7 linked regions of the Oryzias latipes genome follow. The main gene of each other region encodes a partner of the protein of the gene in region 3 in a complex. Links are inferred from orthologs where the notes say so. Each region holds a gene or a part of one and is shown on either strand. Other genes may lie near its edges.

The links.
Region 1: med20 (region 3) and med31 share a complex: the UniProt entries of both Homo sapiens proteins name them as parts of the mediator complex. The link is inferred for Oryzias latipes from reciprocal best matches to the Homo sapiens genes MED20 and MED31.
Region 2: med20 (region 3) and med24 share a complex: the UniProt entries of both Homo sapiens proteins name them as parts of the mediator complex. The link is inferred for Oryzias latipes from reciprocal best matches to the Homo sapiens genes MED20 and MED24.
Region 4: med20 (region 3) and med18 share a complex: the UniProt entries of both Homo sapiens proteins name them as parts of the mediator complex. The link is inferred for Oryzias latipes from reciprocal best matches to the Homo sapiens genes MED20 and MED18.
Region 5: med20 (region 3) and med4 share a complex: the UniProt entries of both Homo sapiens proteins name them as parts of the mediator complex. The link is inferred for Oryzias latipes from reciprocal best matches to the Homo sapiens genes MED20 and MED4.
Region 6: med20 (region 3) and med8 share a complex: the UniProt entries of both Homo sapiens proteins name them as parts of the mediator complex. The link is inferred for Oryzias latipes from reciprocal best matches to the Homo sapiens genes MED20 and MED8.
Region 7: med20 (region 3) and med7 share a complex: the UniProt entries of both Homo sapiens proteins name them as parts of the mediator complex. The link is inferred for Oryzias latipes from reciprocal best matches to the Homo sapiens genes MED20 and MED7.

Annotation. Positions count from the first base shown.
Region 1 is NC_019872.2:23,702,723-23,706,779, reverse strand, and holds the start of med31 (mediator of RNA polymerase II transcription subunit 31), read right to left. Parts: upstream 2,801-4,057; 5' UTR 2,618-2,800; coding exon 2,608-2,617; intron 993-2,607; coding exon 918-992; intron 1-917. UniProt on the Homo sapiens protein: Component of the Mediator complex, a coactivator involved in the regulated transcription of nearly all RNA polymerase II-dependent genes.
Region 2 is NC_019877.2:9,580,059-9,584,095, reverse strand, and holds the start of med24 (mediator of RNA polymerase II transcription subunit 24), read right to left. Parts: upstream 2,801-4,037; 5' UTR 2,681-2,800; intron 2,675-2,680; exon of another isoform or gene 2,555-2,674; intron 2,417-2,554; 5' UTR 2,416-2,416; coding exon 2,286-2,415; intron 2,201-2,285; coding exon 2,118-2,200; intron 1,991-2,117; coding exon 1,952-1,990; intron 1,869-1,951; coding exon 1,795-1,868; intron 1,476-1,794; coding exon 1,252-1,475; intron 1,110-1,251; coding exon 998-1,109; intron 903-997; coding exon 752-902; intron 1-751. UniProt on the Homo sapiens protein: Component of the Mediator complex, a coactivator involved in the regulated transcription of nearly all RNA polymerase II-dependent genes.
Region 3 is NC_019863.2:2,278,108-2,281,660, reverse strand, and holds med20 (mediator of RNA polymerase II transcription subunit 20), read right to left. Parts: upstream 2,091-3,553; 5' UTR 1,981-2,090; coding exon 1,967-1,980; intron 1,795-1,966; coding exon 1,649-1,794; intron 1,102-1,648; coding exon 848-1,101; intron 778-847; coding exon 556-777; 3' UTR 501-555; downstream 1-500. Other genes in the region: bysl (bystin), read left to right, coding at 2,287-2,551, 3,180-3,336, 3,434-3,553. UniProt on the Homo sapiens protein: Component of the Mediator complex, a coactivator involved in the regulated transcription of nearly all RNA polymerase II-dependent genes.
Region 4 is NC_019874.2:22,764,196-22,768,345, reverse strand, and holds med18 (mediator of RNA polymerase II transcription subunit 18), read left to right. Parts: upstream 1-1,351; 5' UTR 1,352-1,708; intron 1,709-2,185; 5' UTR 2,186-2,192; coding exon 2,193-2,265; intron 2,266-2,984; coding exon 2,985-3,541; 3' UTR 3,542-3,650; downstream 3,651-4,150. UniProt on the Homo sapiens protein: Component of the Mediator complex, a coactivator involved in the regulated transcription of nearly all RNA polymerase II-dependent genes.
Region 5 is NC_019879.2:14,006,626-14,010,840, forward strand, and holds the start of med4 (mediator of RNA polymerase II transcription subunit 4), read right to left. Parts: upstream 2,801-4,215; 5' UTR 2,761-2,800; coding exon 2,687-2,760; intron 2,437-2,686; coding exon 2,370-2,436; intron 1,929-2,369; coding exon 1,758-1,928; intron 751-1,757; coding exon 693-750; intron 1-692. UniProt on the Homo sapiens protein: Component of the Mediator complex, a coactivator involved in the regulated transcription of nearly all RNA polymerase II-dependent genes.
Region 6 is NC_019862.2:24,741,084-24,745,068, reverse strand, and holds med8 (mediator of RNA polymerase II transcription subunit 8), read right to left. Parts: upstream 2,801-3,985; 5' UTR 2,708-2,800; coding exon 2,702-2,707; intron 2,570-2,701; coding exon 2,448-2,569; intron 1,420-2,447; coding exon 1,275-1,419; intron 1,192-1,274; coding exon 1,051-1,191; intron 973-1,050; coding exon 885-972; intron 814-884; coding exon 574-813; intron 498-573; coding exon 427-497; 3' UTR 253-426; downstream 1-252. UniProt on the Homo sapiens protein: Component of the Mediator complex, a coactivator involved in the regulated transcription of nearly all RNA polymerase II-dependent genes.
Region 7 is NC_019868.2:21,185,906-21,189,925, forward strand, and holds the start of med7 (mediator of RNA polymerase II transcription subunit 7), read right to left. Parts: upstream 2,801-4,020; 5' UTR 2,685-2,800; intron 518-2,684; 5' UTR 509-517; coding exon 1-508. UniProt on the Homo sapiens protein: Component of the Mediator complex, a coactivator involved in the regulated transcription of nearly all RNA polymerase II-dependent genes.

The sequences.
Region 1 (4,057 bases), on a different chromosome or scaffold from region 3:
GTAGCTTACAGTTAACAATAAAGTAAGAAAGGCTGAATTAATACTTTAAAAAAAAAAACAACTCCCAGGAAGGATCCGGGTCGTGTCTTTCACACCAAAGAGCCGACTTTAAGGTTGTTTCACTTGCTACTGACACATCAGTACACGAGTCTCTGCTCTGCTGCTCACCTGCTGCTCCTCAGGGATAACAAGACTCCTTGCAGGATCTCTTTTTGTCTTTTTCATCTTTGAGCCAGTTTGGAAAGCAAAGCGACTGCAGCAATGAGGGGATGTCTGTACTTTGACCGATCCCCCATGCTGCTATGTGCCAGTAATTCCGTCTTTTTTTATAATTAGTCTCTGTTTCATTTCAATTAACAGAGAAAAAGTCAAAGCCTGCAAAATCTAAGTAACAAAGTAACAAGGGTTTCTATAGTCCAGTAACTGTAATTCATTACAGAATATGAGCTGTAATTTGTTATGTTCTACCGTTACTGACAAAAGTAATTAAATTACAGTAATTTGTTACTTTGTAATCCATTACCCCAACACTGAGCAACATACAGAAGTGAGGATATTTATCAGTTTAAACAAACACATTTCTGTCTTTAATGAAGAAAGGTCAGGAAAAAAAAAAAAAAAAAACTAAATGAGTAAAATAGGTGAATCTGATCTTTAATGTGATACATAATATGGAAAAACATGAAAATTGGAGTAATATTTTTGGCTTTTCAGAGCTTTTTGTTCCTTCTTTTCATTGGGCAGTCATAAAAACAGGTTTTCATGGAATATTCGTGTTGAGGCCTTGCAGGGCTTCAGATTATTGAAGGATTTCAAGCCTCCAACCAAACGAACTTCCAGTTAAGGAATGTAGTTTCTGGCTTCACTTTTCAGGGAAGTTAAAGAACAAATGTTAAAGAAAAGATGAAGAGACTTACAGTTCAGGTAGTACGGATTTGCCAAACACTGCACAAACTCCAGCTCGGCCTGGAAGCGGTGCCGGGCCTGCTCATCTGGACCAGAAAAGACAGCATCACACAAAAGTAAAAAACACTGCGAATTCTGAAACAATAAGCAGTTTGGGCCTGACGACCTGCTGCAGTTATTATTATTATTATTTTTTTGCTGCTCTGATATTTCCATGATTCGTGTGTTATGCTAACACTGTAAATGAGTTTTATTTCCCCAAACACATTTCCTGTGTTAGACCAGTGGACTGGGTGATAAGTTAGAAACTATATAAGCGCGACGCAAGAACTGGTTTATTGTCAGACTACATTTTCACAAACGAGCCTCTGAGGTTCGGCTACTAAATACAACCAAACAAAAAGATGCGACCGACAAAAACGTCTGACTAAAGTAAATGTGAGTTCAACCAGTACACAATTTTACTAGCAGTGTCCTGAAAACCTTAGAGGGTCAGTCACCGCACAGTGAGTGCGGGAACAACTGTCACCAGAAATCTATGTTTTGAGTAGAACTCCTGGTTCCATGTTGGGGTGGAATCTCAGTCATTCAGGTCATGATAAAATGAAAAGTTCCAAAAGTATTCAACTGGACAAAGTTTCTGGTTTGAAGACGTTTCGCCTCTCACCCGAGCAGTTTCTTCAGTTCTGTCCAACTGGTGCTGAGCTAGAGATTTACATCCTCCTCGCTGGAGTCCTTTGATGGCCAACCAAACCCCCCAGTGACTGATTCGTTGACCCCTGTGTCCCGGTTGTGTCTATCTCTTCCTTTTCCTCACTGACGGTGCTTTCTGCCCAGAGAAACCTTTAAGAGGGCCTGACGCTTGTTTGTGTAATATTCAATAGAATGAGGGTTTTTATTTAGCGTTGTAGTAATGTGCGTTAGCAGCTGAAGGTGGGTAAAATGCCTGACTGAGGCAAACATCAAGCGTCACAGACAGATGTGGAGCAGTGGACGTCGTTTTTCAAAATAAAACCTTCATAAACACCTGATTAACAGAAAAAAGGAAGAGTGGTACCGATATGGAGCTGGAGACCACTGTCCCCGGTGAATCATTGAGTTAATGGGGTAGTTAAGGTAGTATGTCTGATAAAATCTCACATTTACAAAGTTATTCAAACCTGATAGAGCTTTATTAAACCCACGTGAACTAGTGTGTTGTCCTTATGTCGGTCTTTGGTTTATTTATTGGTTAAAGAGAGTTAGCAGTTTGCTAAAATTAGCCCAACGTTTTTGAAATTATGAATTATATGCAGTCTGAAGATCTTACTTATTCCTGCTCAAGCGACCTGTACTAGTATGTCGGGGTTTACTTTGGCTTCTTTATGAAAAATGTGTCAAGATGGACGAGCTTCATATTCTATCTTTTTAAACTTTCTCATAAATGTCATATTACTTATTTTACGGACTACAGCGAAAAAATCCCCGCGTTAATCGCCGACATTATTAATTTATTATTTACGAAAAATTTTCGGCTTGTTGTACGCACGAACTCAGGTTAATAAAAGCATCAACACAGCTTTAAGTCTTTTACAAAAGTTAGAAATACACAGTTTCTCAAATGTCAAATAAAAACACAAGAATAATGAAGACATTCATCATCCTCCCATATAGTTAGACTTAGAAGAACCAAAGCTAACAAAAATAGGTTTAGCTACAAACCTGTTTCCATGGTATCGACCCGAACAGTAACTATTTACTGTCCACAAACTGAGCAGGGCTTCCAGAAAGAGCAGAAAATCCTTATATGTGTTTAAATGTTTAACAAATCTTCAGTCCAGCTGCTTTTGTTTAGCTTTCATCAGCCGTAAGTGAACTACTCGGGCAAAACCACTTCCGACTTTGCGACACCTGCTATCTACTTTACGGCTTTTTTTCTTTTGCAACAAAACTTTGTTGTTCAGCACACGGACAACAAAAACTGAGACAGAAAATACCCAACACAAATAAAAAATACTTGTTAATCATACTTTTGGTTATATAGTGTTTGAAGTCTGAAGAAATAAACATTAAATGTCATCATGAAACAGAAATAATTTGAACAGTGAATAAAAAACGTCCATGTTTATTTGAGTCTTTGTTATTTATTGGAAAAACACAGAAATTAAATGATCAAAAAGCAGTAAACGGAAAATGTTTTGTTATTTTTCATCCAGTCTGATGTTAATGTTTTTCTCTGAACACTGAAAAATATGAGAATATGCAAAAACTTTAGGTAATCAAAATGTTTCACACTTGATTCATAGGATTTCTGATCTTGTAGTTCAGCATCTGGCCGTATGATTGCTGTATGAATGATTGTGGCGCTCCATGTATGTATGTATGATTGTGGCCCATGTGTGATTGTGGCGCTCCACAATCTTACTAGGCTGTGCTTTTCCTGCCAGCATCTTACACCCTGCAGTTATGTGCTGGATTGTTTCAGGCGCCTCTTTGCACAGCCTACACCTTGGGTCTTGTCTGGTGTGGTAGATCTGAGCCTCCATTGCTCTGGTGTTCAGGGTTTGTTCCTGGGCTGCCAGGATGAGTGCTTCAGTGCTGTCCTGTAGGCCAGCCCTTTCTAGCCATTGGTAGCACTTCTTGATATCAGCAGCTTCAGTTATGGTCCGGTTTGTCCTCCCATGAGGATTTGTCCTCTAGCACTGCATCCCTCTCCGTTGCCTGAGACATTCACTGAACACACTGTCAGTTGGGGCCTTGAGTTTGATGTATTTGTGTGCAGCAGGAAGAAAGAAATAAGAAAGTGCACTCGCTGTAGTTAAACACAGTGACGTATGCTTCAGAGGACGTTCAATTGGCTGTTCTGCATGTCAATCAAGTGACATCTTTCCTGCCGAGGATGATGATTCACTGACAGATTTTTAAAAAATATATTTTGATATTTATTTCTTATTTTTGATGACCTGCAATCTACAGTTCCATCCTTCGTGATCGACATAATGAGCACCCCTGACCTAAAGGATTTGAATGTGGACCATAAAATAACACTCTTTACATGTTTGAGTGATAAAGTTTTATTATCAACAAGTAAAAGGAGTTAGCAACAGGTTTGTAAAAAACAGGAAGATACATATGTACACAACACACACATACGTGCATACACAAACACACA
Region 2 (4,037 bases), on a different chromosome or scaffold from region 3:
TTTATTATGTCATTAATGTAAAGTTTATTGCAAATCTTTCATGGATATGTGTTGTTGCAAATAAATATTTTTTAACATTTTGTACACAAGTTCCATTACTGTGAAACAACGGTTAAATTAAATTTTCATGTAATCAAATTATTTTAATTTGCAAAGAGAAATTTTCTCAATATGCTACTGTGAGGTAAAATTAGAAGAAAAATGGCTTAAAATACTTTTACCCCAAATATGTTTGTTACATAATTGTTTTGCTCAGCGTACATGATTTAACCATGAACCTTCTTTCTGTTATGTCATAGATAGAGAGATAAAGAGATAGATAGATAGATAGATAGATAGATAGATAGATAGATAGATAGATAGATAGATAGATAGATAGATAGTTAGATAGATAGAGAGATGACACTTTCATTTGCAGGTAAATTATTCATTACAAATAAAAAACTTCAGTATAAAGCAAAGCTAAAAAAGCTAAATATGAATGTAATTTAATGTAATTGCACAGTAAATTAAGAAAAAATGGTTCTCTTCAGGCTCAGAGGGTCTGATTATGTCAACATGAAGGAGCAAAAATGTGTAAATTCTTAATACAGTTTTACAAATTAACATATTTTACATAGTCATAATTGCAATGTTCAAACTACCGGTAATTCACCTGCAAAATATTTGCAAAAAGAATATGACTATTTCTGACTTAGGGCTGAAGATCACAGAAATTATAGAAATATTTTGTCATGAATTTCAAGCTCACCTGCATTCTCTTGATCATCATTAACTGCTCCACCAAAGGCTGGATCTCTCCGATTAAATTCATGGTTGCCTCCAGCATGATGAAGGCATGAACTGATGGGAAGGAGGCACGCACTGGAAGCTCACACTGCACAGAGAGCATGCTGGGAATACTGGGGAGAGTCAAGAGTCATCCCAAGAAAAATTAACTTTTTTTAATGTTTTAAAACACTTTTGAGTAAGAGCTTAGTGGCTGAGGAACCTTCACCTTTTTACTAAAAACAAACTTTCTTCCAGTGAAGTCCTTAATGTTTGGTTTGGTACATTTCCAAGACCTTCCGTAACTTTAATCACTGCTTGCTCCACATTGTTCCAGGACCCTTTGGAAGAGGAATTTCACATCAAACCTTACAAATGGTGAACATGCAAACAAAGACCATAACCTTTGTGTGCACAAATGCCTACATTCTCTTCCATAACATTCATATTTCAATATTGTCTTTCAATATTTTATTCCCAAACCTTGATCTTCTAATCGGGCGATATGAACCAGAGCTCTGTTCTTGGTGCTTTTCATCAGGGTATGAAGCCTCTCCTGACATGTTCTGAGAATAGCCTCTATGCTGGGTACCGGTCCGAGCTCTCTCAGGTTCTCGCAGTACCACGCACAGGCCTGCAGCAGCCAGACCACCACCCCAAGCAAAGCCCGACACAACCCAATGCATTCCTCTGCTTTGCCATGGCAGCTGAGTGAGAAGACAACAATGTACAGTATTAACAATTAAAGCTATAGTACAAATATAAGATAAAATACAATATGCAAGTGAAGTATTGGGGAAATAACAATAAGACAAGGCTTGGCACACAAGTAAATCAGTTAAGATTTAATTAAAAAAAAAACATATCAATAAAAATTGTTGAAAATTCCAAGTTAAAGTGAGGCAGATTGAAGATTTAAAACCCTGACAAATTTGCTGTCCAAAAAATAAATAAATAAAATAACAAAAATGTACAAGAGAAAGTCACAAGGAGAGAATAGTGGTGTTTACTCAGAAGTATTCAGACCTTAGGCGACAGCAGAACATGTCTATTATGTCCAGCAATGACTTCACACAGAGGTCCCGCGAGAAATCGTCAAACTATAAACAAAACACATTGGTTACAAATGCAGCAGAGATCCATTTAAATGCGAATCTTCTGTCCTTTTTATGATCAAACACACCTTGCTGATGGCTGTGAGCACACTAGCATAGGACACCATCTAGAAAAGTGAAACATTAACAGTCATTATTTAAAAATATATATATATACACACATTTATGTATATACACATTTATGTGTATATATATGTGTGTGTTCAGTTTTCAAAATAAAAGTTCCTTTCCAACCTGTGAACTTATAGCATATTTAAGGTAGGATAAGATGAGTGGGTTAGGGGATGGACCAATCATTGCCTGCTCCATCAAAGCTTCTGGAAAACACAAAGAAAATAATGAAAATTAAATGCATACATGTTATAGGATGAAACGCCGACGTTGTTTATCACAATCAACAACCTGCGAGGTTAAGGTAGTCCCATGTTGCTCCCTTTGGAAAGTTTTTCTTGATGTTGACAGCCCATTGGTAGTCTGTCCACCTTTCTTTCCACGCCTGCAGGATAGCCTGCTTCAAATTAACCACCTTCATGCTGGAAAGGAGCGAACACACGTATCTGTTAGAGAATAGCTAACTCACTTATGTCAAAAAAATAGCAAAATTGCCACACGTTTTAACATATAAACACTGGGTCAAGTCAATGCAGCTGTTAGATTCGCTGTTAGCATACCTTCTCAATATTAGCTAACAGAAAAAAACTAAACGTCTCTTGTTTCGCGAACAAACTCAGAATCGTCCCCGGAAAAGGCCAGAACATACCTCTCAAAGTTTCATTATTGACTTAATTCATATCTACCTGCTCTCGTTTTGTTAAAGCGCAAGATGTGGTTGTTTTTTAGTTTCACAGCTCCACAATGCAGGATACCCCCATTGCTGTTGTGAAAAACACCGCCGCTCATTGGCTACTCCCGACACTCCACCAGTATTCTTTTCGATGATTGGATAATGATGTTTTTCGCTTTTAAGCCTCAACCTTCGACTGCAGAATCTGTCTACTACCACAAGATGTCGCTGTTAACCACAGAACTTATGAAGTAGATCCGAAATTGAATGGGACTCTAAAATGTAGTTTGCAGTAAAAAAAAAAAAGCTTATTTCAGCTTTTTTCTTTCTTTTTTAAAAAGTTGGAAAATCACTACCCAATAGCAAGAATAATGAAAAATATATTTTCAAAATGAACACAATGATTAAATTAGAATAATAAGGAATCAGGAATCTTTATTGTCATTTTAAATTAGCGTCTCTGGTCCCGGGCCAGTCGTTTACAGTGAGAAGACAGGAATAAGTAAATAACAATATGATGTAGTAATAATTTACATTTATGGAACCCACAGTGCACTTTTAATTTAAAAATCTAAAATAAAAAAAAGCTTCTGAGCTTTTGTTCTTTGTTCGATTTTTGTTTTTTTTTGTGTGCACAAAAATTTGTTTTGCAAAAATAAAATGAACCCTTTCTCTGCATCAATCTCCATCAGACCAATCTTGTATTAGTCAGGGCCAACAAAGAGCTTCTTTCTGCTTGTTACTGGAGATGATGTACTGACTAGAGTGAGGTCTGTGTCCTGGGACAAGAGTTATGTAAGACCGAAAGAGATGATCAGTGCATATTAGGTGGACAAGTGTTAGAGGACTGATGAAGTTGCGTGTTTGTGTGGAGGTGTGTCTGGAGAGAATGATCTTTTCTCCTTTACCTTACACTGAGGGCTCTGTTGAGGAGGCGTGGTGACAGCTCTCCATCTGCCACAGGGGTGATCAGAGGGACTGTGGCTGCAGCTCTGTGTCTTTTCTCACGGCTTCATTTCAGAGATTAGGACATGTGCTGATTCTGGCTTTTCTCACTTCCAACCTTTATTATGTTACTTGTTATTGTTATTCAAAAGTGATCCCCCATCTTACAATATTATTGTATCATCATTGTGGTTCATTACATAACGTCTGTTTCACTTTCAAGTTACTTTCTCAGTTAAAGCTGCAGAACTACAACATAATAAACATTTATAATACAAAGTATTTCACATTTACTATAAATAATGTTATTAATATTAACAGTATTGTTTATTTTTGAACAAGTGAAAGCACACAAAAGACGACTATATTAAAATTCTTAGCTTTAGTCAATTTATTCCAACAAACTTCAAATAGAAGTAAAAAAG
Region 3 (3,553 bases):
ATTGACATTTATCAAGTATGAGACTGGCTTGTGCTTTATAGTCCTTCAAATCCTTGAACTTTTCCAGATATTCCAGGATTTTTGCCTCCATAGAAATCCATGGGGAATCCTTGGTGCAGAAGCTCGCTGGTTTGATCCCTCTGGCATTTTTCACACACGTATCTATTTGTTATTGTGCTGTTTTCACTTTATTGTTGTTCAACTTTGATCATTTCTTTCCTTTTTTGTGCCAATTCTTACCCTTTAAAGGTTCATTTTCATTCAACAATATAGCATTCAACCCTGAATTTTCTTCTGGAAATGCGGCTCCTTCTAGTTCACCTAACATTTTCTGAACTAAAAAATGCATCAGCTACATTAAAAAAAGGCTCTGGTTTCTTACCTCCACCTGATTTCTTTATTGCAAAGACATTCAACTAAGTTCCTAAAATAAATGTTCCAGAAGTTGGTTTTCAAAAGTTTCAGAAAAACATAATCAAGCATTTGATACAACCCCCCCCCCCCCCCCCCCCCAAAAGAAAATAAAATACAAAAAGGCCAGTTTGCTTTCCTGACCTAACGTACATTACTCCCTGGGATCTGCAGTTTACGAAGTTTGTTGAACAACTCCAAGTACTGCGTCATGGTGTCAACACAGTCCGCTGCTGCAAAAAGCCCTTCGGGTTTAGCAGCAAACACAGATGGAAGTTCGGGAACGCTGGTGCCAAGAAAAGACTGCATGAACTCCTTCATGAGGTTCCAGCAGTCCCCAGGAACCACACAGGGGCAGTACTCCACCTGCAGTAAAACACACAGGGCACATCATGTCCACCCGTCCCGCTGAAAGGGACAAACTGCATTTCCATACCTCCACTGAAATGCCTCTGGCGCTGGAGCTCATCGTCACAGTGCCCACCTTTATCAAAAAGTCACAGTATCGGTAGCGGGAGCCTCGACTCTCCACCTTGTGTCCCTTGGCGTTCTGGAAATGACTTTTTAACTTGGACATGAGGACGTCAAAGTTAGCATCAGCTACTAAGTAGGGTCCTCCTTCGAATAGGGCCATGCAGCTCAGAGGGGTTTCAGAGTTATGCATCACGTATAAGAGCTTGGAGGGCTGACCTGTGACAGACGGGAAACACTGGATGATGCATTCAACTCAATAATACATAAACTCCACATCCATGATTCAAATAAAGGCACATCTGTTATTGATGTAAAAAAGGTTTTTAAAGTCTAAAACCTTAAACAATATTTGGTTTTATAGTAAGGCTTTGAGATGGTTTCTACCATAAAAGGCCAGAGCCATTAAAGTGCAGCTGAAGGGGTGATCTGTCGTCACACTCCAGTAGAACTAATAGGACCCTTATCTAATTTGTAAAATATTCTCAAGATAATTTGACAAACACACATAAGATAAAGTGGCTATGTATGCTTAATTGTGTCCCATATTTACTGCAGATGTGTCTGAAGGAAGAATTAGCAAAAGCCCTGAATGTTCTTGTTAAAAATGCTACCAATTAAATGCAAGGGCACAAACGGAGCTCATATGCCAATCACCTTTTTTTAATTGCTTTTTAAAGGTCTAAGCAACCACAACTAATTACCACATGAATAAATAACTACTAATATGTTTCCCGCGTGATGCTTGAAAAAGTAGCGAGCTTACCGACAACGTTTCCCGTGGCGTGGTATGTCTCACAATCCACGCAGAAGCTGCCTTGTTTCACAGAACCGAGCTGCTCCAGCTTTTTTTGCAGGACGTCCACGGTCTGCTGCACACTCTTGCCCTCCGCTATGGGCACCTGACAAACACTGAAAGACAAAACACCCGACTGAGCAGCGACAACCCAACGCATCCATGAAGGGGAGGAGCACGCTTTCCCCAAAAGAACAAACATTTGAAATAGACAGGTCCTATAAACATAGCGAAACCAAACTATGTTGAAATAATAATTACACTTTAATGAGCCAAAATATTCCTTACCAAGTTACTCCCATTTTTGTTTTGCCTCCTTCGCAACTACTTCCGGTTAAACAAATTGACTTCCGGTAAAGGAAAAAATAAAATAAAAATACAAGTGAACATAGACGAATTGAGTTAAACTGATTAACTCAGTTAATAAACATAGGTTCTTTCATATATAATGTTTCGAAACATTTTTAATGAAACCGGATGTGACGTAATGTATTTCCGCTGCCTCTGTCGCGCATGCCGTTTGTCCGCACGTGCTAAACAGCTGGGTGTTTACACACTAAAAAGGCATAGACAGGCTTTAGCTTGTAAATTTTTTTGGAGCTGTAGCGATGCCGAAAGTGAAGAAATCTAAAGGTGGAGGAGAAAAGAGCTCTGGATCCGTGGCGCTGGCTGACCAGATCCTGCAGACGGACACGGTCCGAGCCCGCAACCGGGTTAAGAGCAGAGACCAGCGGCCAGAAAGCGACGACACCTACGTAGACGAGCGGCTGTCGCGGAAAATCCTACAGCAAGCCCGAATTCAGCAAGAGGAGCTTCAGACCGAATATGGGCTGGTACCGGAGAAGAAGAAGGCGACACCGGTCACTGTTCTTGGTAATGTTGGATCAGAACCAGGACATCCGCTTCAGTTTAGAAAATGATCAAACAGAAGCCGTTGATTAAGGTTTCTAAAGGTTCTCTCTTGTTCTAGTTTTTCTTACCGAAGAAAACGATGACCAACTTTAGTAAAGTTGCATCACAGATTCATCACAATTCAGACCCATCTACCCTTAACAAAGACAAGTACACTTGAAGTTTACTTAAGGATACTTGAGTAATAAGTGTGTAGTAGTGTACAAGTATAGACCATGTACGTGTAGTGTAGGACATATAGTAACTGAATACTTTTTCAGACTTTTATTGGAAAATTTTAAATGTATATAAAAAGAAAATTCTAGTTTACTGCTTTACTTTTAGTATAGACAGTATACTTGTAGTTTACTTAAATAGACTACTTTTTGCTAAGGGATGCACTAATGCTATGACTTAAAAATAAAGTTAACTGTTCACTAATGATGGTTTTAGTAAACACTCCAAATTAAAATACTTTCAGTAAATAAATACTTAAAAATAGAAGTAATAATGTTTTCATTTACTCGTTTCTGTAGTTAGTTGGGTGATTCCATACATCTAGATCTGCATCTTTTCATTATGTGAGTTCTAAACACTCCTGTAACTGTAGGTCCTGAATCTGGGGATGCAGACTCGGATGAAGAGTGGCCCGCACTGGGAGAAGCAGTTTCTGGGGCGGCAGAAACCGAATGTGATGCTGAAATTATTGTAGACCCAGAAGACGAAAAGGCCATTGAGATGTTCATGAATAAAAACCCACCAATGAGGCAAGAAACATGGCAGTTCTGACTAACCAACAACAACAAACAGAAACCACCAGGCCAGTTTCTTCTGTCCCTACTAACATGTTTCTCTTTCTCGTAGGAGGACCCTGGCAGACATAATCATGGAGAAAATCACTGAGAAGCAGACCGAAGTGGGGACGGTGATGTCGGAGGTGTCAGGGCGCCCCATGCCTCAGCTGGACCCCAGAATTACAGAGGT
Region 4 (4,150 bases), on a different chromosome or scaffold from region 3:
AGTTTTAATGAGCCTGAGGTTTTAACAGCTCCATCACACCTTTTCTATGTTCACCCTCTAGCATTTCCTTTGCTTTGCACTTGCTGTGTTTTCAGAAGACGGACAAGTGTGAGTAATAATCCTTTACATTTTCCACAAATCATAAAGTGACTAATCATTTACTAATCATTTTCCACTAATCATTATTTCTTTATTTGCAGGTGGAAGAAGAACCCTCCATTGTTTATTCCTTAATTGCCTTTAGAACCCCTGCAAAGACCAATGGCCGTGAATTAGCCCACAATGAAACCATTTACAGTGAAATAAAATTCACAAAAAGCAGTTTGGATAGGTTGAGCAGGTAATTGTTGCGATATTTTAGCAGTTCTGAAGTTGCCTTAACATGGATTCTGTTTTGTGAGTTGAAGTAAACTTCACCCTACAAGGTCCAAAATGGAAACCCTTAGAAGGGTTTTTTCCATTGTGTCAGAAAATGAATAACTGCTTGCTAATTATCTTTATGAAATATAGCATTGCTTTGTGTCTGTACCTGATACTGTCAGCAAGTGCTTTGAAAACAGAAAACAAGTTCCTTTAAATTATTCTGAACCATTATTTTTTCTGACACAAATTTTGTTAAATATTTTTTCTTTAAAGGCTTCGGAATCCGTCAAAACACAGTTTTTATATCTTTATTATTTTATGTGTAAAATATGCATCTGATGGAATGTTTGTCATTTACTTTAAAAGGTTAAGCACAAATCTTAAAAAAGTTTGTGAACCTCAATCAGCCAAAAACTATAGCAGCATGTCTGAATTTTAAATGTTTTATTCAATGTTTTAAAAAGAAAATATTTAACAAAAACTAATTGTAAAAATATTGTAATTGTTGTGAAGACAGCATCTGAGTTTTAAAAAAAAGGCCCACAGAGCTAGGCTTTTATTTTTTTATGTGCCAGCAATTACTATTACAACATTTTCGGTATGAAATCTACATATATATTTTTATTATTTTTAAATATGTGCAAGGTTTTCAAATACATTTAGTTACTTATCTGCACTGATAATAGTTTCAATTTTTAGAGCACGTTTTGGTTTGTGAGTGTTTTTGTAAATCAAATGACTTGAAGTTGATTTTTAAAAAAATGTTATTTATGGATTGTATTTTTAAAGTAACCCCTGTTTGGGTTACTGTAATTGATCCTTTTTCTACATTGCTAAAATTTAAGTTCAATAAGTGTATTCAACGTGTACTTATTGTTTTATCATTTGCCTAAATACCTGTTTGCGCGGAAAAAGCTAACACAGAAAGTTGCTTCCATGAATGGTTATATTCCGGGGTTTCAGTAGGTGGCAGTAACGAGCTTTAAACTGGATTGAAAGCGCCTTTTAAAAACAAAAGCCAAGGAAGAACTTGGGCGCCTTTGTTTTCTGATTAGCATCAAATTTTGGTTGTTTTTAGAACGGGTTACAATATATATTTCATTAACACTTTTTTTATTTTTTAAGTTAAGTACGAATGCCTTAAATTACTTTGTTGATGACAGTAACAGCTCAAATCGTGAGTTGGTAATTCCATGTAGGCTAACTGTTAACTGGTACTAGCAGCCGTGTGGATATTAGCTAACCGGTGAAACAGGGGGCCCACCGTGGAAACCAACCACAAACAGCAAAAATATCTTAACTTTAGTCAGTTCTAACGCTGCGCCGAACTCTTTATTCTGCTCAGGTAAACCATCTTACTCTGTAGTGAGAAACGTCTACTGCTTTTGCTAGTTAGCATAAGCCTGCTATTGGTAGTTGTATTTGTTCGCTAATTTAGCTAACAACTGTTTTCTGTTTACTCATTCATTCATTGGTAATGTCACTCACATGTATCATCAAACAACTGCAAATGAAATAGAGTAGTCCAACAACACTTTGCAAAAAGTAGCCTATTTAGTTTACTACATGTATAATTGGCTAGTGGGACGATATACTTGAAGTAAACTTTTAAACACAATCTAGTATTGCTAAATTCAAAACATAAAATGTTCCAATTTAGTCTGAAGAAGTTTTCAGTCAGTTAATACTTCTTTCACAATATACACATGGTCTATCGTACACTTGTACTTATTCTCACGTGTCCTCAATGAAATAAACTTCAAGTGTAGTACTTTTTGCTAAGTGAATGACAATGCCATCATTCACTATTACTTTAAATCAGGAAGAAGATGGAAGCTCCTCCTGTCACAGTTATGCCCGTCACCGGCGGTGCCATCAACATGATGGAATATCTGTTACAAGGTGAGACGATTCAGATATAGAAGGTTCAACCAGAGATATAGAGGCTTGATATATTTACAGATAAAACGGTGTATTTTTCCAGAATACATATATTAGAAGCCAGTATGAAGTTCACTGGCTAAATTATTTGAAAAATAATGTTTACATCTTCATTCTGTTGCTAAAACCAACTTCTATCCATTAATATTAGTCTTTAAAAAAAAACTATTAAGTTGAGCTAATTATTTTTCCATCATGAGTGTTGGTGTAGCATTAAAGAGCAAACCACACTGTCAAGAGTGTGGAAAGAGTGCTCAGTTACTTTCTGTCTTGAAAATAATATATATTTCTAAGGTTTTCCTGTCCTGTTTGTGCTGCACTTTACTGGACACATTTGTATTTAGTAAACTGAAGTATTTAAGATTATATAGATGCATAAAGATTTATGGAAAAATAATCCTCAAGTCAGGAAAGCTTTTTTTAAATTTTTTTATTCATGAAACCTGTTATTCATGTTTTCATCACATCTGAAGTGTTTATTGAAACTGTGTTTGTAAAAAAAAGAGATCTAAAACGAACACTAATTTTAACATTGAACATTTTTTAATTTCATGATGGAGGATTATATGTTTAATATTCATTTTTAAAAAGTTGTATCACAGCAGGAAATAATTATAGTGGGAGTAAAGAACTTACTATATGAGTCTTTAAAGGATATTCTATTTTCTCGTTTTTTTCAGGCAGTGTTTTGGATCAGGCTCTGGAAAGCCTCCTGCATCGCCTGCGTGGTCTCTGTGACAACATGGAACCAGAGACTTTCACCGACCACGAGCTGGTTTACCTTTTGAAAGGCCAGCAAGGCAACCCCTTCATTCTGCGTGCCAGACGCTCCCTCTCCCACCCTACTTCTCCATGGCACCTGCGGTATCTAGGCCAGCCAGAAGTGGGAGACAAGAGCCGCCATGCTCTGGTTCGCAACTGTGTCGATGTAGCTGCCTCTCAAAGCCTTCCGGAGTTCCTCAATGAGATGGGCTTTCGCATGGACCATGAGTTTGTGGCCAGTGGTCACATATTTCGCAAAGGAGCAATGAAAGTTGTGGTTAGCAAGGTTTCACGCATCCTAGTACCAGGGAACACGGAAAATACAGAGCGAATGTCGCTGTCGTATTTAGTGGAACTGAGCATTTTGGCTCCGGCCGGACAGGACACCGTGTCAGAAGACATGCGCAGCTTTGCCGAGCAGCTCAAACCTCTGATTCATCTGGAGAAGATTGACCCAAGCAAGCAGAGACATTAAGCATTAATGGAAAAAAATGTTTTTGTTATTGTTTTCCTTTCCATTTAAATGCTTTTTAATGTGATGAAATACAGATTTACTTTGCTTAAACTGTTACAGTTGTGGTTAATCTGACCTGTCAGAGTATTTTTTTAATTTATTTTTTACTTTTTGTGCCTACTATAAAGAAAATATTATAGTAACAAATAGCTGGAAAATACTTAAATATATTTTAAGTTGACAAACATTTTGCAATGCCTCAGATGGCTTATGTTATTGCTTTAAAAATTTTTTTTTAAATCTTCAATTTCATTTTTTTATATAATAAATGTCCACCAGGGGTCTCTCTTTCCACAAGGATGGTCTTAATTGGAGCAAAGTGAACGCTACCTCTCATCATCTACAGGAGCTCTGGTTGCCATGGAAATAATTAGCTGTGCGATCTGCACATCGTTTACCCCACTCTAATTAGCTTTCTCAATTGCTTAATGATACATAGACCTGTGAAAGCCTTTCTTTCTTCCTTTCCACAAAAGCATTGATTTTCCCTCTCTTCCCCTTTCATTTCTACTGTTAACCCATTAGTATCCTTTCTTTTTTTCATGGGAACTTGAGCTGGGACTATTACAA
Region 5 (4,215 bases), on a different chromosome or scaffold from region 3:
GTCCCTCTGACCATCACCAGGACATTCATACACATTCACACAGCAGTGGAGCTGCACTGGAGGCAAGGAGGGTGAAGTGTCTTGCCCAAGGACACAACGACAGTTGAGTGGTGGGACCAGGGATCAAACCGCCGACTCTTCGACCATTGGACGATCTGCTAAACTGCCTAAGCACCTGCATAAGCACCTGCCGCCCCATCAATTTTTAAATGAAATACCGGTTTTCTTAGCAGCTCATTTTTGTTGCAATATGAAAACCCGCCTGTTTTTGGGGATTGGGAGGGGCTGGTGCTCAGAGAGCAGGTTTTTAGAGGAAAACTCAGAAATGCATTAAAGGATCAAAATACTCTTCTGGGGTCGTTTTTCAAGAGGAATTAACAAATATAATACATAAAAAGCTAAAAATAAAATTGATTTTGCATGATATAGGTCATTTAATGAGAACCAATGTTTTTTTATGCCAAATCTTGAGTCGATACAAAAAGATGGCACAAGAGAGTAATTATTTTTTTTGGCAGAGATGAAGATGCTACCTAAAATGGAAGAAGGAATGAATTCTTTAACGAAAACCTTAAACTAAAATCTTTGAGTGTCAACGCTGAAGTCACACAGCTGCTTGAGTATCTGGATGTTACCAGACACAAAATGATACATCCAAATCCACAGACTGAAAGACAAGTGTGTTTGCTCACCTTTCTTAGCCTTTTCAATGGAAGCAAGTTTCTCCTTGGCCTGGTAAACTGCAGTGGCCTTGAAGGAGAAAAAGTCAGTTTAGATTGACAGAAGCTGCTTTCCAAGTGTGATCTTAGATCTGGATCCAGTGACCCCGTCATTCCTACACCTTTCTGTTTTAGGTGCTGGAAAAGAAGCATCATCAAAATGTCTACAATAGTTGATAAAGAATGACATTATTAGCATTAGCTGAGTCCTCAAAAGGCATGGGATGATCCTAGTGTTGGGCAACAGGGCTTGCAGTTCTCCGCGTGCCCCGTTTCACCTGGCAGACTGAGCCCACTACCCCTCCCCTTTCGTTCTCACACACGCAGCCGCGTGTGACAGGAGACGGGAGCGCGCAGCTACAGGGACAGGAATTCACAGGTTTCAGGTTGTCACAAACTCTGTGATTTTACAGACAATAGGAACCGAATAGAGGCGCAGATTTTTTCCCCAAGCACTGAGCCGCTGTCATCACCGCCCCCACGTTAAATATGAGCACCGGACAATTGTCTGTATAACCTGTGCCTAAAACCGCCACTATAGCGCGCCCCCCCCCCCGGCATCGCATCGGGGGGGCGCACCCCACTATTTGAAAAGCACTGCTTTAAACTGTTACACTTTCAGACAGTGGTGAAATTTGTAATGACCCAGATGACTAAGCAATCTTTAGATTACTTTGAACTATATTATTTAATTGACTTAGCTCTCAACATATATGTTACAAAAAAAATTATTTGTCACAGGTTTTTTTTTTTTTTTTTACAGTTGTAGTAAACTGCCAGATTTACAACACATTGAGTTAATTTTTTACAGCAAAAGATATTTAGCCTTTTAGAGTTTTTATACTTTTACTCAACAAATGCTAAAGCCAGCACAGCCATAGATCTGCTTACAGCAGCCTATATGGAGAATGCATTAGACTGGCTTAATCTGCCTATGTGCTAGAAGAATGAGGATTTCTGCTAATGCACCTGTGAATGTAACTACATCACCTTACAGCAGTATCAGATGAAGCAAAAATACACACAACCTCAACCCACCAGGATGTGCTCTGCCTCCTTCAGCTGTTTCTGCAGCTGCTGGATGTCACTGTCTCTCTTCTCCACTTCCTTTTCCAACAGTTGCATCTCCTGATGAATCTTTCCCTGCTGCTGGGCCACCTCCATCAGCTCTTGGAATTCCTTGTCCCTCTGCACCAGAAGCTCCAGGATCTGAAGACAAAACAGGCTCTCCAATAAACACAAGAAGCAGCACTGATCAGACGTCGACTGTGGCCTTTGCTTCCATGGAGACCAGCATCATTTCAAATGGCTAGAGGTGACAGTGCTGCACAGCTCAAACCCAAAACATGAAATGTTTTTTTTCTTCATTTTTTTTAAACATGGCCATATCCAAATAAATGCTGGAATATCAAGAGAGAGGCCGCCCTGATGGCTGAGGCCAAGCCTGTTGTTTTCATGTTTTTAGATGATCTGCTCCTGATGACAACTATTTAACTAAAGAAATAATCAGAAATACAATTTAAGCATACTTTTTTTTGTAAATGTCTTTTACCATCTTTAAAATGCCACAAGAACATTTTAAAAACACAATTTTCTTTGGAGTGGCTCTTTTGGAGTGTTGAACTAGAATAAAAAAGTTGTGTCCTTCACCTGTGTGTCCTCTCCTGGCTGAGGAACTTTCTGGTTTCTGGCCAGAGCCAGCATCTCGATCAGCTCCCTGAAACAGAAGAGCAGACATGGAGGATTCAGCACGAGGAGCTGTGGAGTACGCGGCACAACGGAGGCCATTTAAAGCCCCCCCGGGGGGGGGGCTTTAATTTCAAAGCGTGAACTAAGCCTCATGAGCCTTTACTCTCCACTGGACTTCTGGACTCGAATCAGGACTGTGCAGACCAAGCCGTAAACCCGCCTACTGTGTCGCTACCTAACTACAACACGGAAAACAAAATATGAGCTGTTTCCTTTACCGCGATAACACCTCCAAATCATCCAACACAGAAAGTAGCCGCTCTTTTGTTGACTTCTCTGCTGCCGCCGCCATACCTGTTTCTAAAGCAGAAAGGATATGACGTAATAAAGACTTTACCTCAAATTGTAAGTTACTGTCACCTAGTGGTGGCAAAAGGAATATCATGCTAAAAAGTACGTTTTGCCTATTCCAAGGAGGAAAATCTTAAATTATTTTTGGAACCACGGATAATAATAATTCATAGAAAAGTAATAATATTTTTTGTAAATTGTTTTACTTAAATTACTAAATAAACAGATGTAAAATGTTGATGAAAACAGCCAAATTTTGCAAAAGTTATTTCAGTCTGTGTTCTAAAGTTTTTGCAAAATGATCTAAACAATGATTACTATTTTAAAAATACTGGACAAGCTGCAGTTATTTTAGTGCATAAAGGATGTAAAATGTCTACAGGGTAAAAAAAAGGAATTATTACAATATTTTAGTAATTAGTAATTTACGTAAACGATTTAAAAGCAACTTTTTCTCTTGAACTAAATATGTAGTACGTTTATTTGCCTATTTATCTCTTTGCATACATTTTTTTAAGAATGTATTTTCCATGATAAAAGTTGTTCTGATACAATACAAAAAGCAAAGACAAAACTAGGCAACATATTGCAACAATGTTTATTAATACTAAGATTACTCTGACTTCCTGATTTTTTATTTATTTTATTATTATTTTGTTATGGGTCAAAGTGTTAATGTTAAATTCAGGATAAAATCTCATTATTTGTGTGCATTGACCCATCCCCTGGGTAGCAGTGCACTATAGCTGTGCTAAGGAACTATTTGGTAGTCTAAGTTTCTCTGACTTTGACTCAGCATGAACACACACATCCAAAGCAAGTTTGTTTTGTTGAGGCTGCCAACAGTGAGATAATAGTGAAGCTTTTTTGCAACCAGGCCACTTCCTGATTGTCAAAATAAGAGGGATTCAAAGATGGAAATGAAATGCATTTTTGCCATTGCATCTGAAAACTGCATACTGACTTCATAGGAATTTGAACCATATATGTTTGTCTTCAAGAATGAACATTTCCCCCAAAATATCCAAGTGAAAGCTTTTAAAAATTTTAGAGGCTTCATTACTGTTTTTTTTTTTTAATTTAAAACGTTTTTTAAAAAAATACTTCTGTTTTTGTGGTTGTGAATAATCTTCAGGTCAGCATATCTGTGTAGTTGTTTCTCATTTGAAACCTAATGTTCACAAAGACAAGGCTGGTCTGAAAATAAGGTGATTCAGAAAGAAGTCACTTTTTAAAAGACCCCCCCCCCCCCACACACACACACACACAGGTACACACTTTTGGCATGGTGTTTGGTCTTTAACTGTAGATCTTCTGCAAAAACAACGAAGCCATCCAACAGGATTTAAGCTATTTTTTGTTGCAGCTACGCACTGACAGACCAGAAGAACACATTTTTAACTATGTAGGTCAAGAGGCTTGATCAAAGCTCCTGAAATATCATGCCTCAAGAATC
Region 6 (3,985 bases), on a different chromosome or scaffold from region 3:
GGTCATACAGCCAGACAGGATCAGAGCAGACAGAGGGCCAACACTCAGACAGGAATAAAACCCCCACCACCACCATTGTCAACAGCAATAGTTCCTCGCGTTCTCCCTTAAAAGTTGTGACACAACGTCCACCCCCATCAGGCTCAGCGCTGCAACACAGACTCAGAAGAGCGGAGCTCAGGTTTTTTCACGTCGTTTCAGTGCAGAAACAAGAGAAAGACACTTGTATAATAAAGGCCACACAAACCAAGCTGCTTTTCTGGGTTTTATTGAAAACATGTCATTGTGCTGTTAAGATTTAGCCATAAAGGATCCCATGCTGCCACCTAGTGGCTGTATAGAGAGCTTCAAAGGGGGACGTGAAGGTGGACCCAGTAACAGACTGATGTTCCTGCATCTGAGCAGTAAAGAGGCGGGCGGGGGAGATCACCGGTTGTAAGGGTGAATGGAACCCGATGCAGACTTGATGTTTGTCTTGATGCTGCTTGGCATTTTTCCTGGACAAAAATAAAGAAATAAAAATGTGTCTCCAATACAAAAAACTTAATACATTTTACCAGTACAGTTTCCTACCTGGCTGACCTTGCTGCTGGGGGGCCCCAGGCCCTCCCATACCTGCTTGCTGGTTTGACCCGCCACCAATAGTGACCTGCTGTAACGTTGGACCTCCGCTCATCATGGGCCCCTGCCCTGGGTGGCCAGGGGCCACAGGGCCAGGAGGTCTACACTTGGAGAGTCCCTTCCCAAAAGCCACAGCTGCTACCAAGGCACTGGTGTCTGTGGGGTTGAAGGACGCTTTGTTCTGCCGCACTGCTGGAAGATAAACACACTCAGCTCTTTCTACAATAAGGACAACAAGGGATTTACACAAACGAGCGACCCACCAGAAGCATCTCCCTCTCTGTCCTCTCGAGGGTTGTTCAGCTTCTCCAGAAGGTTGGAACACAGCTTGTTCAGAGCCTGGATATGCTTCTGTGGATTAGCACAGACAAACACTAAACACCTTCTGAGCACAGACAACAGATAACAAACATCCATGCGCCTCCTGACCTGAGCCAACTCAGGACCAATCCTGACCGCCTCTGCACTCAGCTGCTTCTCCTGCTCTTCCACCTCGGGGTCAGGCTTGGTCCTCAAGTGATCTGGCACAATCTCGTGACTGAACACCGGGACGCGTTGCTCTGTGAGTTTCTGAGGGGGGTGTGGGGGTGGACAGGATAGTTAGAGGTCTTTCACCACACAGGACAGCCTGCAAATGTTGCGGCGACACTCACAGCTAAATCCTCATCCCGGTCAGGAGACAGGAGCAGCGGGATGATGACCTGACTCCGGAAAGCTGGGGTCTTCTCGTTCCTCAGCAGCTTGTTGATGGTGTTCAGCTGACCCGAGAGGAGAGCAAAGTTGTCCAAAACAGATGGCCTGAGGGACAGGAAAGATTTGAGAGGGGGGTGAGAAAACTTTTGCAGGTAAACATGGAGACACAAACACTTTCTAAAAGACGCATGCACACGTACAAATACACGCACGCAAATACAGACACCAATGCTACAACAAGCTGGCAGTTACCATAGATCTGTGTTGGCTTGCTTGTTTTTCTTTAGTTTCGTTTTTTTTTTTCTCTAATTATTATTCTGTTTTTTGACAGAATTGTTGTTTTTTACACAAGTGCAGTGGCGTGCCTGCTAGTCCTTTGGACTATTTATCCCCCACTTTCTGGGTCTGAAGCGGTCTGTGGGTACATCGTCTACACGGTCAGCTGTTGTTGCTTGGCAACAACAACATGCCGCTGGAGAAGCAATCCCAGATCGCAGGAGATACTGAGGAGACTGGGGTTCTCCTGAGTTTTCAGGACTCTTTTTAATGATGGCATTGTTGCGTCTGCCCTCTTCTATGGTTTGAGCTGCTGGAGGTGTGAATGCACAAACAGGAACAAGAAGAGGATCAACAAACTGGAGCGGAGATCCGGCTACGTTCTGGGATGTCTCCTAGAATCGGTAACTGTGGTGGGTGAGAGTAAAATGTTACAGAAACTGAACTCCATCATGGACACTCCTCTTCTTCATCATCATCATCATCCTTTGTATGGGTGTACTGAGCAGCTCCTTTACACCTTGTTGCAGGAAGGAGCACTTTCCCAGATCTTTCTTCCCGTCAGCTATTAGACTCTGCAATGCCTTATAGACATTGGACAAAAATGATTGCTGTTAATTGTTTAAGTGTATTTTTAGTGTTATTAATATATATCTGATGTTTTATTGGAGCTATGGCAACAACAAGGTAATTTCCCCTTTTGTGGGATCAACAAAGATTTATAGTCTAAGTGCGCTCGCGCACACATGCACACGCACGATATGCACTCACTTGTTAACTTCGCATGTTTCCAGGCTTTTATTTATCATAATCAAAGGAGGGGGGATACGTTACGTCATAAGGGCAGGAGGACCCACCATGTCAGACGTTCGTACTCATTCTCCAGCTTGTAGATGAAGCTGCTCAGGGCGTTTTTAACGTGAGCCACCCGGGAGATGAGAGACTCCACCGCCGTCTCCAGCTGCTTCTCCTCCCGCTGCTGAAACACAAAAAGGACGAGCAGAGAGGCCCGGACAGATTACACAGCGCCCGAGCTAGCATCAGTCCAAAGTATCGTCCACAGTAGGTCAGAAGAATCACAGACAACCGAGTGAAATTATTTCAGACTCACTTGCATTGTTGATCTGTCAGCGACCCGGAAGTCTTCTAGGTTGTACTTCCGCTTTGCGCTTTCCAAAAAAAAGAGATGCTTCTTCTTCTCTGGTCAAATCTGACGGTGTGTTTGTGCTCCCTTGTGGCTACAGCAGGTACCCATACCACCCATCCTCTTGTTTTTTTCTTTTCTTTTTTTATTTATTGTTCAATAAATATTTGTTTCTGAGGGTTTTGCACCCTTTAATATTGTTTTCTTTCGTCCAAATTCTCTGTTCCAGGCCAAAATAATGTACTAGAACTGTCCCGTCAGAGTCATTAATCCAGTCTATACTGACTTTTTTAAAATAGAGAATCAACGATGGTGTTGACTAAAAAAAAATGAGAAATTGCAGCAACCAAAGTGAAATTGAAGAGCTGAGAGCAGAATCAGAGGATGAGTCCTGCAGACAGTTGTGAAGGAAGCACAGAGAAGGTGCAGCTTACAGGGAGACAGAGATAAAAGCTCAGAGCAGAAACAATTTAGTCTTCCTGGTATTTATTAAAAACAAATGATATGTTTAGTGTTTTTGTTTCTGTGTGTGATCATGGGTCTTCTGTAACAAGCTGTATATTGTTCTGGTTATCTTTAGTGGAAGCTCCAAATGTCCCAGAATCTTGGCCAACCATTACAAAATCAGTTCTTTTCAAGTTTATGAGTCATCAACATTATCTATTTAGTTCGGCTTTATTATTAACATTCACCGGTCCAGGCATCAGACTAAAATACAAGCCTTATAAAAACAGAGACCTGATTGTTTGGTGCAACCTTGGAGAAGAGCTCTCTGACCTAAGACCTCAAAAGTGTCTCTTAGACTGAATCCTAACACCATTTGACCCAGCAGTGGTCTGGTGAACTGCCCAGGGTGTATCCCACCTTTGCCTTTCAGTAGCTGGGTGGGCTCTAGGACACCCAGCATACTTTTTTTTTATATACATGAATAAAGGTGGTTTAGAAGATGGATCAATGTTTCTAGCAGTGTAAACTCTATATGCAACTGCTATTTTTACTTCAGGATCAGAGTTCAGATAATGTTTGCATGAGCAAATGTCCAACGTGACAAAATAAATTAGCCTGAAGAATCATGCCAGCTGTTCATACACACTTAAGAGTTAATAAAAGACACTCCAGAAAAGTTCAAATAGGACATCCACATTCAACAGGTCTGCACAGTTTCGTTTATTGCTCTGAAATGAGTGTAAAACGGAAACTCTAGAAGTAGTTTTCCACATCGCCTGTTTCCACCACCACCGTCTTCAGCTG
Region 7 (4,020 bases), on a different chromosome or scaffold from region 3:
AAGCAAGACACCCTTGGATCATCTCCACGACTCTCTCCAGGTGTTTTTGGAATCTCTCCGCCGTCTCCAACCTCTGCCTCTTCTGCACCTCCATCATCACCCTCAGAGTCTCCCTGGCTTGGTGCGGCCTGTACTCGTTGATCAGATGATGCATGTGAACAAACAAAAGCTTTATGTCCTCCATCTTCTCTTCGCGTTTAATATTACCAGGACTTTTGATAAGGATGTCTAAAAGGTCCAGAAAGTTTACGAGAATGGACATGTTCAGCTTCTTGAGCTCCCGTTTGTGGTCAAACTGCATAGGATGCAGCCTCTCGATGCCTTGGCTCTCCAGAGGCCGAATAATAAGGTCGTCGCACTGAAACTGATTGCCAAACATCATGTAGCTGTCTCTGATGGGCGGAGGCGGCTTTGGCACCAGACCTTTGCGAATGTTTTCATCTGTATACTCCTTGATGTACTGCATGGGCGGTGGAGGCAGTGCGCTGACCTGCTGTGGTTCACCCATTTTGCAGACCTAAAAATTATAAAATAAATAGAACTACAAGTTAGAAAGAATCCAAACAACAAATACACAGTCATGCACCTGATAAGATCCCACTGTTGTGGCGAGTTCACGGGTCTCACTTATATGAAGTAAAACAATCTTTAATGACCCCCTCATATGTTCTGGGTGATGGCATCAGCTACCTCTTGCATAAACGCTTTCTCCAGTCAGTAAAGTCACAGTCATGATAGCACTTTGTCAAAACTATGCCTTTTTAATGTGCCAAAATAATAACTTTCAAGAAAAAATATCCTTATTTATTCATTTTCTAAACCCGTTTTTGTCCCTTTCAGGGTCACGGGGCTGCCGGAGCCTATCTCAGCAAAGGCAGGGGACATCATGGACAGTTCGCCAGTCTGTAGCAGAGCCACGTTCACACACCCATGCACACTCACACCTAGGGAGAATTTAGTAACCAATTAACTTATGAAGCTTGTTTTTGGACGGTGGGAGGGAGCTGGAGTCCCTGGAGAAAAACCAGGGGATCACGCAAACGCCACAGAGAAAGGTCCCCCAGTGGTGATTCTGTTTCAGGTCCCCCAGCTGGGACTTGAACTGGGGGCCTTCTTGCTGTGAGGCAAGAGCGACAACCAAGAAGAACATGCATCTGTGGAGCTTAAACATATACATGTTTTTAGGTTAGAGTAGATAAGTATTAAATGCAGATTAACCAACAGACACAGGAACAGATGTACAATGTTGACACTTAGCCTAATATTACTAGTTTTGTATATGCATCCACAAACGTTATAATTATTTTAACACGGTTTACTATAGTTTCTGTTACAGATACTTATTCAATAATACATTGTTTTACAATATATTTTTCAAAAGATTAAAGAAAATGTAGAGGAATTTTTAAGTGAAACATTTTTTTAAAATTGTGAGAAAAGACTTATACAGGTTTCCATAATCAGTTTTACAATACCAAAAATAATTAATCAATAAAGCCATTTCTAAATGCTGTGGAAAATGGCATAAAGATGTGACAGCTTCCATTGCATTATAGTTACCTGTGGGACAATTAAACAGATTTTTGATTGATTCCTAAACTTCTTTACATCCTCATGTTTTTTTAATTGAAACAAATTGTCTGTGCTACTTACCGGTAACTAAAAATCCAAATTATTATAATTCCTTTATCTATAAGAAAACAGTTTTTATTCAATTGAAACATGTTTAAATTTATATTATCTATCACTATCCCCCCTATCAGATTGTACTTGTTAAAGAATATGATTTTTTTCTGTGTGATTTAACACCATTTTTTCAAAATGCTTATTTGTTGTGCACATAACCTTATAATTGTTCTGCTATCAATTTAGCAAATACAACTGAATTAGTAGATTTTATATTCAAAATTAAAAAATAAATAAAAAAAAAACTGCAGAGTTTAAAAAAATGTTTAAAGAAAAGCCATCCTGATGTAAGAAGAGAACAAATGAGGGTCAAAAACAAGTCAAATTGTGGATTTTAGTAAAGAGAAGTGCATACATGCACATTCTATACATTAAAAAAAACACAGCTTTTACAAAATGCATATTTGTTGATGTCTGTTTTCAACACTTTGTATCATTGTTATTGAAGGAAAGAAAACAACATTCAAATCAGAGAAGGATATGTCATATGGTCGGTGCATGTTTTAACTTGAAGATTGCCACGATCAGAGTTTACCGTAGCCAAACGAGTCGTTAACCGCTCCAACCAATAAAAGTATTTTTTCCCACGCGTTTTTTTTAGGATTTTACACGTGCTCACAAGAAGTACAACAACAGATAATGTTCACACATCACATAGCTAAACCTGTTTTCTAAGTAAGAAGGCGGACAAGTCGACAACAGACACACACATGATCATCACGATTCATTTTGAGAACTATGTCAAAGTCAAACCTAACGTAACAAATCTCGAATTATTCCGCCGTAGTGCATTTAGATACCACATAAAAGCCCACGTATATACTAACTAACAGTAAAAGTTATTACAAAAACCTAATTAATAAAACCGCTCCGTTGATGTTTGGCTAACAACAAACGTCGTTTCCTGCATCTGCTGAATAATACAGTCTCTACAGTCAAAGAAACAGGTCTGTAACACGAATAAAAGGGTTACATTTATAACTGATTATTGTACAAACCTGTTTAACGACTCAATTGGTTGAGTTTAGATGAAAATTCTTCTAGCCAGTTAGCTCCTGACTAGCTTCGCTTTATTCATTTCCCGGTTGAGTTTCAGATGCCAGGATTGGACAGTGACCCGGAAACAAACTCGACGTTGATTGGTTGCGTCGACAAGCCTTTAAAGTATTTCATTATTAACCTTATAATTAGTGGGTTTTATTCAAAACTAATCTCTTTCCTGTATTAATTGTTTTAAACTTTTTGTTAGTTTTTGTTTGTTTAATATAGTGAGTTCAGGTTCTGATCCTGGTAGGCCTATAAATCTTAAAATATGTTCTTAAAATAAGCTGCTTAAGAAATCAAACCCAAGCAAAAAAAGTTCAGATCTGTAACCATAAAAAAGGGGGGGGAGGGGGACTCTAATTTTAAAAATGTATCTATCATTTGTTTTTACGCCCTAAATACAGTAGGGCAGGTGAAAGTGTCTAACTTTGAATTTTATGTTTCATTTTCTACTTAGTCAATTAGCAACACCTAATATTCATTCTTTTTCTTTTTTTTACACTTAAATAAAAATGGTCAAACTATTATAAGTAAGCTGACTTCATCTTGACCCTGACACTAAATAAGAATGACATGTAACATTTTATTTTATAAACGTTGTCATAGGCCTAGTGAATATTTAGCAGAGGGCAAAGGTTGTGCTTCGGAGTGTGCAAAACAAAACAAGAACATCGTATTTGAACCAAAATTGAAAAGAAAAATAAGAATCTTTCTAACCCCAAAGAAAACATAGCCTCATGAAAAGTACATCAAAGGTTCCATATTGTATTTGGATACATTTTTCTTAGAAACCAGACTTTTCTCTTTTGCTGTTTTCTGCATTTAGTGATTCATGAAACCTTGACATTCTTAGTGTTTGTAGGATATAACTTATCATGCATTTTACATTTTTAAAAATTGCATTTTTTTCATTTTTAAGTTTTCCTTCAGTAGTACTTTTTTACTACAATTTTGATACAAGCGGAGAGTTTCTTTTAAATGAAGAAAAAAGAAAATTTAAAAATTCCGAAAAAAAACCCCAGCTATGGCTTCTTAGGTATTGATTAACAGTGTTATTTTTGTTTTTAGCTTTTGATTTAATATGAAAATTTAAATTGTTTTCTAAAACATTTTTGTTTAACAACCAAGCAATTCTGACAAAAAGCTTACATTTTTATGCAAAATTTGATCAATAGTACATCAAAGGTTCATGTTAAAAAAAAAACCTTTATTGAGTTTAACACAACATACGTGATGATACGTGTGTGTATTTGTGTGCACATCAGTGTGTGATTGCTTGCACAGAGTGTT